Linked DNA regions of Yarrowia lipolytica. The protein of the gene in region 2 interacts with the protein of the main gene of each other region in a biochemical or structural test. Links are inferred from orthologs where the notes say so. Each region holds a gene or a part of one and is shown on either strand. Other genes may lie near its edges.

Region 1 (5,538 bases), about 1.1 Mb from region 2:
GAGTTGAGAAGACCAAGCGGGAGCGTGGGGGAGGAGGAGGCGGGAGGAGGGGTGGCTCACGTGACCCTAGGTCGTTATGTGTCACTGTGTGTGTGTTTGTCAAGGAGCTTTTCCGATGCTGTCGGTTCACGTCACTGGACCAGCCATGTACCTCTATCATGTCAATTAATGTGAGTCTAGTTTATTTATCTCGCGTCGCGTTTGGGTTGGGATGCGGGAGGGAGAAAACTTGGTTAGGGAGAGGAATTGTTGTAAATTCCACCCATTATTGGTACTACAGAGGACAGCAGATCTTTGGTTGTAATTCTATCCGGTTTATCCGTTTTGAAGCTGGTTTTTTTTTTTTTTTTTTTTTTTTGGTTGGAGATCTTCTCTTACTCCAGTTGTTCCGTCGCACCATCGCAATATCATCTATAGTCTGTCATTGCCGTACATAGAAAGACTAATTTTAAAAAAACGTCTGAAGGCAGTCAGTATTTTTAATGAGGCAACTTCAGGCTGGGTTGGGTTGGGTGCTCATACTTGTAGTGTAAAAAGAGCCACGAAAAACCCAGGAATCCAAGACGGAGAAGCCAAAGAAAGAGCAAAAGAAGAGAGAGAAAAAAAAAAAGGCGTCAAACTAATAATTACTCGCACCCCGTAATTAGACGCCCGCTAGCTATCTATTTCTCGTCTCCCCTCACAACACTACTATCCCCTGTCTGTCTTGCTCGAGGTGTATCCCCTCCGAAAAAGCCTATCGCGGTTACGGTTGGACCCCTTTACTCACGGACTGTTTTGACAAGTCCAGAAGCTAGATTTTGAGACCACTGAACCTCATCATTGTCTTTTTTCCACCACTTGTCGAGCTTTGCCAAAGAAATAAAAACCACAACGAGCGACGCAGAACGGAGAAGAACGAGCCCTCTCGATTACTCAGTCCCTCAACGACTCTCTGCGACTCTCTTCACGACCCTCTCCACAACTCGCTCTAACGACTCTCTCTAACTACTTGCATTTTTTCCCATAATCGGCCCAGATTCACACACGCACACAACACCAAAGGACCGAAAACCAGGTACAATATACGGATCCAGATACTCACAGATACAGAACCGGATACTTGCGACAGCGATACACTAACGACAGTGATACTCACCAACACAAAAGCCTCCTCACACAGACTCAGTTGCAAAACGACACATCATCGATACTAGAATTAGACAACCGCAAGGACACTCTTTGGAACAACGAACGACACACAGGCTAAAGTGAGTATGATAGACGAACTGATAGAACATGGATGGGTGTTTGCGACTATGAGGTGATGGGCAAAGTGAAGAGGAGGCGGATGTCTCCAACCTTGGGCGCACTGTGTGCATCTGCACTGTTGGTGTGACGATTCGACACGTGTAGGACACATTGGACACAGGGGGGGTGGGAGTCACATATGACAAAATCGAGGCTATGAGCAGATATATGGGCCATGCGGCACTGCTTTCTGCAGATGGGCTGATCATATGGCACTGCGTATATTGCCATGGTGTGTCTCATGTGTCCTCACATCTCATTTTGCCTATCTAGGTCCATCTGACCACCAGTGATCTCAGCACGAAGCGATTCATTTCAACCCACTCTACATCAGAGCGAACCGTCCACCATACAAAACTGTGCAGAGACGTTGCATTGTGATACACAGCCCTTGATACACAGCCCATGTATAGCGTGGAGCGTCGCACTGCCATGAGTTAATTGCACATCCCGACTATGAAAAATCCCGACCATGGGCAATACCAAACTTTCCATGATGAAGACGCTACGACACACACAGCTGTCCAAGGAGCCCACATTCAGCTCATGATGTATGCAGCTTCTCCTGTCGTCCCTACATTCGAGATGCTCGCAACACTCATTTCGAAGACTGTACTAACTCAGATGTCACAATTCAGCCAAGCATTTCTAAACCCTGGTCCTGCCCCACCGCCACCCAAGCCCTTCGCCAGTAGCCTCACCGCCTCTTCCAGCGGCACAAACCTTTCCGGGCTCATGACCCCCACAGAGCCCCGTACCGCCCCCACCATCACACGAGACGCCATCACACGACCCGCGTCGTCCAACAGGGTGCTCAAGTCCGGGTTCGCGTCCGTCAAGGAGGATGGATCATCGTTCCGGTCGCTCATGTGGACTAAAAAGTACTTGGTGTTGCGGGAAAATGCATTGGACTTTCAAAAGTCGGAGACGTCGTCAGTGCAGTTCTCCATCCCGCTATACACGGTCTCGAACGTGACACGTGTCGATCTCAAGCCATATTGCTTCGAGATTGTGCGGTCGTCGGGCTTCAAGTCCGTGTTCGTCGTCTGCAAGAATGACACGGAGCTGTACGCCTGGATCGATGAGATCTACTCCAAATGCCCACTCATGGGCGTCTCTAATCCCACCAACTTCACACATAAGGTGCACGTTGGCTTCGACCCCATCTCCGGAGGCTTCACTGGTCTACCCGACGCCTGGAGCAAGCTGCTTTCGACGTCAGCCATCACCAAGGAAGACTACGCCAAGAACCCTCAGGCCGTCATCGAGGTGCTTGAGTTCTACAGCAAGGAAAATGTTGAGGCCATGGGATTCAACGCATCTTCTTTGGGCATTGGCATTGAGAACAAGTTTGATGAGGGCCTGACAATGGACGCCGCTCGTGTGCGGGCCATGCAGCAGCAGCAGAAGCAGCAGCAGGCCCAGCGTATGGCCAACAACCTGCAGGAGTGGACCAAACCCGTCCCTAGTACTGGCTCTTCCAGCTCTTCAACAGCCACCACTCCCGCACGATATAATGCCACACGAAAGAACGACGACGATCTTCTCACGTCTCTTTCTCCGTCCACATCCGTCCCCCGACGACCCTCGGTCCCCAACGTCACCCGGGCGGCCCCCCCACGGCCTGAGCGACCTGATGGACTGCCATCGACCTCGACGATCCCTAGGGACCGAAGCGAGCTGCGACAGGAACTGCGTAACGAAATGCGTGCCGGTGCTGGAAACAGCAGTGGAAGCGTCAGCGGAGCCAGTGGCAGCGGCACTCAGACCCCCGTGCATCCTCTGCTGCGAATCAACCCCGACGTTGACTCGTACCAGCAACGACAATCGCCCACCAGCAACACCGGAGGCAACTACCCCACGACGCCCACGTCGATGACCCAGTCGTCGTCGCAGGGCTCTCTGTCGTCCAAGACATCGCCCACCGCATACAGAGCCTCTCCCGTGGCCACAGCTGCTTTGCACGATCTACCGCCCCCCCAGCGACCCATGCTGCGACACAAGAACTCCAGTGGTTCTATCAACTCTGTGTCGTCGGGAAACTCATACGTCGCTCCTCTCATGGTCAAGAAGGCCATCCCTGCCAACCGGCCTCCTCAGACTGCCCCTCCGGTGCCTGCACAGAGCGGTGGAGACAAATTCCAGCCCCAGCGAGCTGCTCCTGTGCCTCAGCAAACTCAGCAGCCCCAGGCACTCCCTGCATCTTCAGGTACGTCTGCTGCTCCCGCTCTTGGAGCGGCTAACCAGTTCAAGCCCCAGCGGCCTGCACCATCGCCCCAGAAGACGACCCCCAAGACGTCTCCCAAGAAGCCCTCTGCTGCTGGTGTCGGCCAGGGTGGCTACCCAAGAATGTCTCCCACTAAGACGTCTCCTACCAAGACGTCTCCTGGTGGAGCTAGTGCTGCCGCTGCTGCCGCCGCCGCCGCTGCTACAACTGCTGCTCTCGAAGGTCCCAAGAAGAAGCCCCAGCATGACGAGCGTCGAATCTCGACCATGACCGACGCACAGATCACCGAGAAGCTCAAGTCGGTGGTCAACCCCCAGGACCCTACTCCCTTGTACCAGAAGCTCAAGAAGGTGGGTCAGGGTGCGTCTGGCTCTGTGTATGTGGCTCGGCCTATGACCAACGAGTTCCAGCTCAAGAAGGTGGCTATCAAACAGATGGATCTGGCGTCACAGCCCCGAAAGGAGCTCATTGTGAACGAAATCATCGTCATGAAAGAGTCGCAGCATGCCAACATTGTCAACTTCCTGGACGCCTATCTGCGAGGCACCAACGACCTGTGGGTGGTCATGGAGTATATGGAGGGCGGTGCTCTCACTGACATTATTGATAACAACAGTCTGAGTGAAGAGCAGATTGCCACAATTTCCGGCGAGACCTGTAAAGGTCTGCAGCACTTGCATCATCAGAACATTATCCACAGAGACATCAAGAGTGACAACGTGCTGTTGGACTACCAGGGTCATGTGAAGATTACTGATTTCGGTTTCTGCGCCAAGCTCACGGACCAGAAGAACAAGCGAGCCACCATGGTCGGCACGCCATACTGGATGGCCCCTGAGGTGGTCAAGCAGAAGGAGTATGGTGCTAAGGTAGATGTGTGGAGCTTGGGTATCATGGCGATTGAGATGATCGAGTCAGAGCCTCCTTACCTGAACGAGGAGCCTCTCAAGGCTCTGTACCTGATTGCCACTAACGGTACTCCCAAGCTGAAGCATCCCGAACGGCTCAGCAAGGATATTAAGGCGTTCCTTTCTGTCTGTCTGTGTGTTGATGTCAATTACAGAGCCTCCACCGACGAGCTGGTCAACCATGAGTTCTTGAAGAAGGGCTGTGGCTTGCAGAGTTTGAGTCCGCTGTTGGCTTACAAGCATAAGAAGATTTAGGACATGGGTACGGTATAGGTATAACGGTGAATATGGGTGGAATTTGGACTTTACATAATTATTGAATTAAATAGAATGACCTGAGTGGGTGTACATTATCGAGATTGTTCCATATCGTAGGTTGCAAAGAGTTGGGGGATGTGAAAGCAACGTGGGAATGTAGAGGTCAGTGCCTTAACCTAAGCGATGGAGGTTCGTCCATGAGTTTTTTCCTTCAACTTATTCATTATATTCTTATAGATAGACGTATCCGAACAGGAAATTTGTTGAACTGGTACAGCCAGGCGTCATTAGTTCATTAAGTCAGTTTGAAAGGTGTGGCCAGAGACGAGCACCAGGCGGCAGTTACAGCATCCAGGCATTGTTCGTGCTTTCTGCCCGGCCTACTCCTTCAGACCCTGGTAAGTCAACGCCTCGATAGTCTGCCACAGCACCATTGTGTCCATGTCTCCAAACGGCAGAATCTGCGCCTGGCATAGACCAGCAACACCCTTGGTCCGATCGACCCACCAGAATGAATTCATGATACCGGCCCACCAGCCGACATTGGGACCCCGGCCAGTTTGGGTGGGTTCCACGGTCTGCATGAAAGAAATGCCCCATCCCTGAGGCGCCTCTCCCTGAGGAAACAGTTCGGGCAGAGGGTTGGTGTACTCAGGTTTGGCAGCAGGAATGCCTCGTCGTCCATAGTTGGGCCACTGGGGGATTTGGTTGGTGAACATCTGATCCACAGACTCCTTTGACAAGATCTTACCTCCGTCGTCCAGCAGAGCAGCCAGCACCTTAGTATACTCGGATCCCTTGGCGAAGAACCCTGCTCCAAAGGACTCAAACGCGGCCTTGGTTGGGTACACATGG
Region 2 (5,201 bases):
CGTTTTTGTCGTTTTTTTTGTTGTTTTCATCGTTTTTGTCGTTTTTTTGGATTTTTTCAATGTCGGTTTGGTTGGGGGTTTCGGTTGAGGTGGCTCCATCACCTCGCGATAAATCAGGAGGTGGGGGGTTCGGAGCGCCCAAGGAGTTACCCGCCGAAGCTTGGGCTTGCGCTGTTTCCATGGTGAACGTTTTTTCTGGTCGCGCTCGATTAATAGCTCTGTTTTGGTAAACCAAAGAAGTGAGTCGTTACATCTATATCTAATCAATCGTACTTATGATCCAACATGATCTTCAATAATAACCACGACGATGCCAAACTCTGTGGGAGTCTAATGAGGACGGGGTTATATCGGAGTTCAATTGCTGGAATTCCATTTTGAGAGAAAGAGGGCATATATCTGGACTTGTTGGATTCTAGAAAGACTCTTTGCACGTCCCTACCATCTCTGTTGCGCCTCTGAGAGACTGCGCATGTTTGTTCAATGTGACGGTTTCAGCTGAAACTTTACTGGCCCGACGTATTACCTTCAACGTATTAATGCGCCGCTCTAATTAACAACATACAAGAGTGGTAAAACAAAATAGGTTGTTGGACGAGTTGGCGCGGTGTATAAAACATTCTGGGGACGCTCGGTGAGACAAAAGAGGCCCAAAGAAAGCAAAGGACTAATAAGAGCGTATTCAGCGCGTCTCGGCGGCTAATTCCACTGAGCACTTCGGAGTCTGTCTGCACAGGTGCGTTGTTCACATAACTGTGGGAGAGAGAGAGAGGGAGAGAGAGAGAGAGAAGAGAGAGAAAGAGATGTGGATGGAATTATGGTCTATAAATAGAACCGGCCTACAGCAACACGAGGTCTCGTGCTGTAAAAACACATTCAGGGTCTCGCAATTTCGTTGCCACGTGGTAAAAAGGCTTCTTCGTTTGTACAATGAATGGACTTTGGCGACGAAAAAAACCACGAATGCGAGTCATCGGACCACTTCTTGTTTGGATATTGCAATGGGGTAGAAGAGGCTACAGTGAAGGTACCTGTTTTTTATTGTAATTGTATTGTATTGTATTGTATTGTATTATATTGTACTGTACTTGTACTTGTTCTCTACAAGTCTTATACCTACAAGTACTGTACTTGTGCTTCTCGTGTGTACTATACAACATGTCTCGTGCTCTACCCTCACACTCGTCCTCCCAAATCTTTTTAAAGGTTTTTTTAAAGATTTTCAAAGCCCGACAACTCGATAGATCGAGAGGTCAGATCGTGGGGCCAGATCGTGGGGTCACAGAGTAGAAAAATTCACCAGAGAGATGGGAAATCCGGGCTCTTTATCACGGAGGAGACCTTTTGATGGTCATCTCACGCCGTGTCCGCGGCCAGAATTGACGTTCCGCGGCCCAAATAGGCTCGGCTGACTAACATCCAGGGGCTGCGCATCTCCCAACTAAAACAAGGAGTCCGAACAATGTTGGGAAACGACAAGGAGCGGATACGAGGCCAAAACACCACGGCCGCAAAAGTCGGGTTCCTGTGCGAACTGTGTTCCGCTTGTTAATTTATCGAAGTATATATTATATATAAATATATATTATATATAAGGGGGTGGTGGTTGTCTTGTGGTTTGGTTTAGGGCTCAGGGTCCGCCACTAAACTCTCTATCTCAGGTTGTTTTATCGGGCCACTTATTACCAACCCCCCAGTCCTCTCCCCCCCCCTCACTCGTATCCCCATAAGGTTCGGTGTCTTGCTATTGTAAAGGCCCACCGCACTTGTTGACACTACCTGAGAGGACGTGACGACGTGAGTTTGAACGACACAGCACACACACGACACAAAAGCAGGCACGCTTCCATCATCGCCACGGGACTAGTCGCATCGCCCGCCCACGTGACCACACGCCTCGCACCCTCCCACGCACATCCATTTCAAAACCACGCACCGTCCACTACCACGGTCCCCCCTTGCTCCCGTCGGTCACCATGAACGGATCCTCTCGAAGACTGTCTCCGCCAAATGACAACCTGGCTCACCAGCAGATGCTGCACCAGGAGATCAACAACCTGCTACCGTCGTCGCCATACACGAAGACCCCCCAGCAACGCAAAAGCTCGTCGCAATCCACCCCGTCTCTGTCCACCTTGTCGCCGTCCACACAGAACTCCACATACCCCTCCACGCCGCGTTTGCGATCCATGACGCCCACCATGTCCATGTCGTCGGTGCAGTCAACAGCCCCCACCTCGGTGGCTCCCATGCCGGTGGCAAACCTCGTCATGAACAGACAGGCCGACTCGGAAAAGTCGCTCTACAATATGTGCAAGACCATGCGGGACCGGTTCCACGACATTGAGCAAGTGCGGCCCTTCCTGGAAGACTCGGAAATGTCGTCCATCGTGCCCATCACCCACCTACCCCCCTCCATCCCCCTGGACCCCGTTACCCAGCTCTGGTCTTTGTTCCGACTAGGAGCCCCCCTGTGCATCTTGTTCAACATGCTGCAACCTCGAACTCCACTCACAGTGGACCCCCACGCCGCCGCTAACCGCGCGTCCATCGACGTGCGAACATGCAAACGGTCGGTCTACGACTTTGTGCAGGGCTGCAAGGCCGAGCTGGGCTACTCGGACGACGAGCTCTTCACCATCTCCAACCTCTTTTCCGAAAACACGGGCGATCTTATCAAAGTGATGCGTACGGTCAGCATGGTGGTGGAGACGCTGGAGGCCAGACACCTGCTGCCTCCGAAAACTGCACCCATAACCGCACCCGCCACCCGAGACGCGCGATACAACGTGGTTCAAGAGCTGCTACAGACAGAGCGAAAGTACGTCCAGGATCTCGAAATACTGCACGACTACCAAAACCGTCTCCTGGAAGCTGAAATCCTAAACCCAGACACTATACATCTCATGTTTCTGAACGTATCTGCACTGGTCGACTTCCAGAGAAGAGTACTGGTCGGTATTGAACATGTGTGCTCTCTGCCGGTCGAAGAGCAGCGCTTTGGCGCACTTTTCCTCAACATGGAGGCTGGCTTTCACATCTACGAGCCCTACGCGCTGAACCAAAAGGCGTCCTCCGATCTGGCTGTTCAGGAGGCCCCCAAACTCACCGCCCTCGCCCACATCATCGAGCCTACCTACGAGCTCCAGGCCTTCCTCATCAAGCCCATTCAACGAATCTGCAAGTACCCATTACTGCTACGAGAGCTGGTAAAAGTGAGCAGCAGCGACCATCCTTACGCGTCAGAGCTGCTAGACGGTTTGGAGGCCATCAAGCGGGTTACCAACAGTGTCAACGAGACACAGCGAAGGGTGGAGAACGTGGCTATCATTCAAGACCTGTGCGAGCGAATAGATAGCTGGAAGAGCTACAACCTTGAAGATTTTGGAGACCTGCTCTACATGGACCACCTTACGATTGCAAAGGAGTCCGGTGAATATGAGTACCTGGTGTATTTGTTCGAGGCCATCATCCTGTGTTGCAAAGAGACACGTGATAAAAAGGGTAAGACAATGAGTTTGCCCTCAAAGAAGCCACAAAAGACAGTTCTTTCTCTCAAGGGCCGAATCTACATCGCCAACGTGACCAACATGATATCTAGTACAGAAAACGGATACTCTTTGACGCTTACGTACAAAGGAGACGGCTATGGCTCTATGACCATGCGGTTCCGACACGAAGAGCAACTGCGACAATGGGATGCTACCATCAAACAGCTGCACGACTGGTACAACCAGGACTCGTATGAGTCTCACTTTTCACCTCTTGTGGAGTCTCCAATCAGCAGCCGAAACTCCCAGCAGAGCTCGCATCTGTCTGAGGACCTGGACCGACTGACGCTTGGAAATCGGTCTCTTTCAGGCCCAGTGCCCAAGCTGGGCCCCCGACAGCACTCCACCACCTCTATCAACGGCATGCACGGGGCTAACGGCATGAATCACAGCTCGGTGTCCATTGCGAGCAGTAATGGAGGAGGCATGAGCCGGGCTAGATCTGCTTCTACTCCTGGCTTTGATGATGGCTCCATGCGTCCCTCAAACATTAAGGTACGCGTACAGTATTTCCAGGACGTATTCACGCTCATTGTGCCTGCCAAGGTCACCTACGATCAGCTGATTGAGCGGGTGGAGCGAAAGGTGCGACTGTGTGGAAAGGTGGTACCTGCCCCTCTGCGAATCAAGTACCAGGACGAAGACGGAGACATGGTGACCATCCATTCGGATGAGGATATCGCCATGGCTTTGGAACAGAAAAATTTGGAGCAGTTGAATATTTGGGTCGCATAAGAGCACGCATCTTGAACAACGTGGTACGGACATGTATCAAGAGCGATCATGTTCAGCAAGAAACTGCTCCGCAACCAGCTCAGGCTGTACACTCACTACTACAAACGGCGGTGTTCGACTGCTTTGAAACGACGCAGATCTCTGCAAAAACGATATAATCAAGTTATTTATGTTATGTGACCGGGAGTGCGAGTACCGTGTGTATTGAACAAGATCTCAGGCACTCGCCCCAATTATCAACGTCGATACCAGTAACTCGTACTTGTGTGACTGGACACCTACAAGCTGTGTTCTGAACACGGAACCAGATGATGAAGGGTCACTGTTGTTGTCAGCGCGATAACATGATACAGTAAGATCCAAAGACTACAGCACGGTGGATGTAAAAAAAATGATATTAACGTCTAAGACGCGGATGTGCAAAACACATGTAAGTAAATACAACATTTGGGGTTGTGGGACTAATTGGTTGTCTCACGAGTCACTCTCTCATGAGTGCGCTTCATGGGACTCCCCAGGTGATGGGGCAGGATCACATGCGATTGTGCATTGGAGCACTCAGTTACAGACAAAAGTGGAATGTGCTTAAGTCATGGAGTACTTGGGACCATCTCCACCCTGAGGAACAGTCCAGTTGATGTTCTGGCCAGGCACCTTGATATCGCAGGTCTTGCAATGGATACAGTTCTGCGAGTTGATCTGGAATCGAACGCCGTCACCAGCGTCATCCTCAATGTACTCGTAGACACCGGCGGGGCAGAACCGGGCCTCGACACCCTTGTACTTCTCCCAGTTGTCGGCGGTATGCTTGGCCAGATCAGCCTCAGTGTTGATCTTGAAGGGAGCGTCAGCAGGGTCAGAAGTGAGCTTCAGATGGACAGGTTCGTCTTCGTCGTGGTTAGTTCCGGTTCGTGA

What was found.
Region 1: of the proteins of YALI1_C20646g (region 2) and YALI1_C31453g, one has a biochemical effect on the other in vitro, tested with the Saccharomyces cerevisiae proteins (3 studies listed by BioGRID, with this or other methods). The link is inferred for Yarrowia lipolytica from reciprocal best matches to the Saccharomyces cerevisiae genes CDC24 and CLA4.

What each region holds. Positions count from the first base shown.
Region 1 is NC_090772.1:3,141,532-3,147,069, reverse strand, and holds YALI1_C31453g (uncharacterized protein), read left to right. Parts: upstream 1-1,746; coding exon 1,747-4,680; downstream 4,681-5,538. Other genes in the region: YALI1_C31408g (uncharacterized protein), read right to left, coding at 5,064-5,538. UniProt on the Saccharomyces cerevisiae protein: Involved in budding and cytokinesis.
Region 2 is NC_090772.1:2,061,410-2,066,610, reverse strand, and holds YALI1_C20646g (uncharacterized protein), read left to right. Parts: upstream 1-1,976; coding exon 1,977-4,286; downstream 4,287-5,201. Other genes in the region: YALI1_C20664t (uncharacterized protein), read right to left, coding at 1-181; YALI1_C20597g (uncharacterized protein), read right to left, coding at 4,872-5,201. UniProt on the Saccharomyces cerevisiae protein: Promotes the exchange of CDC42-bound GDP by GTP. Controls the polarity of calmodulin, and the calcium regulatory process of bud emergence. CDC24 may be involved in the initial selection and organization of the budding site.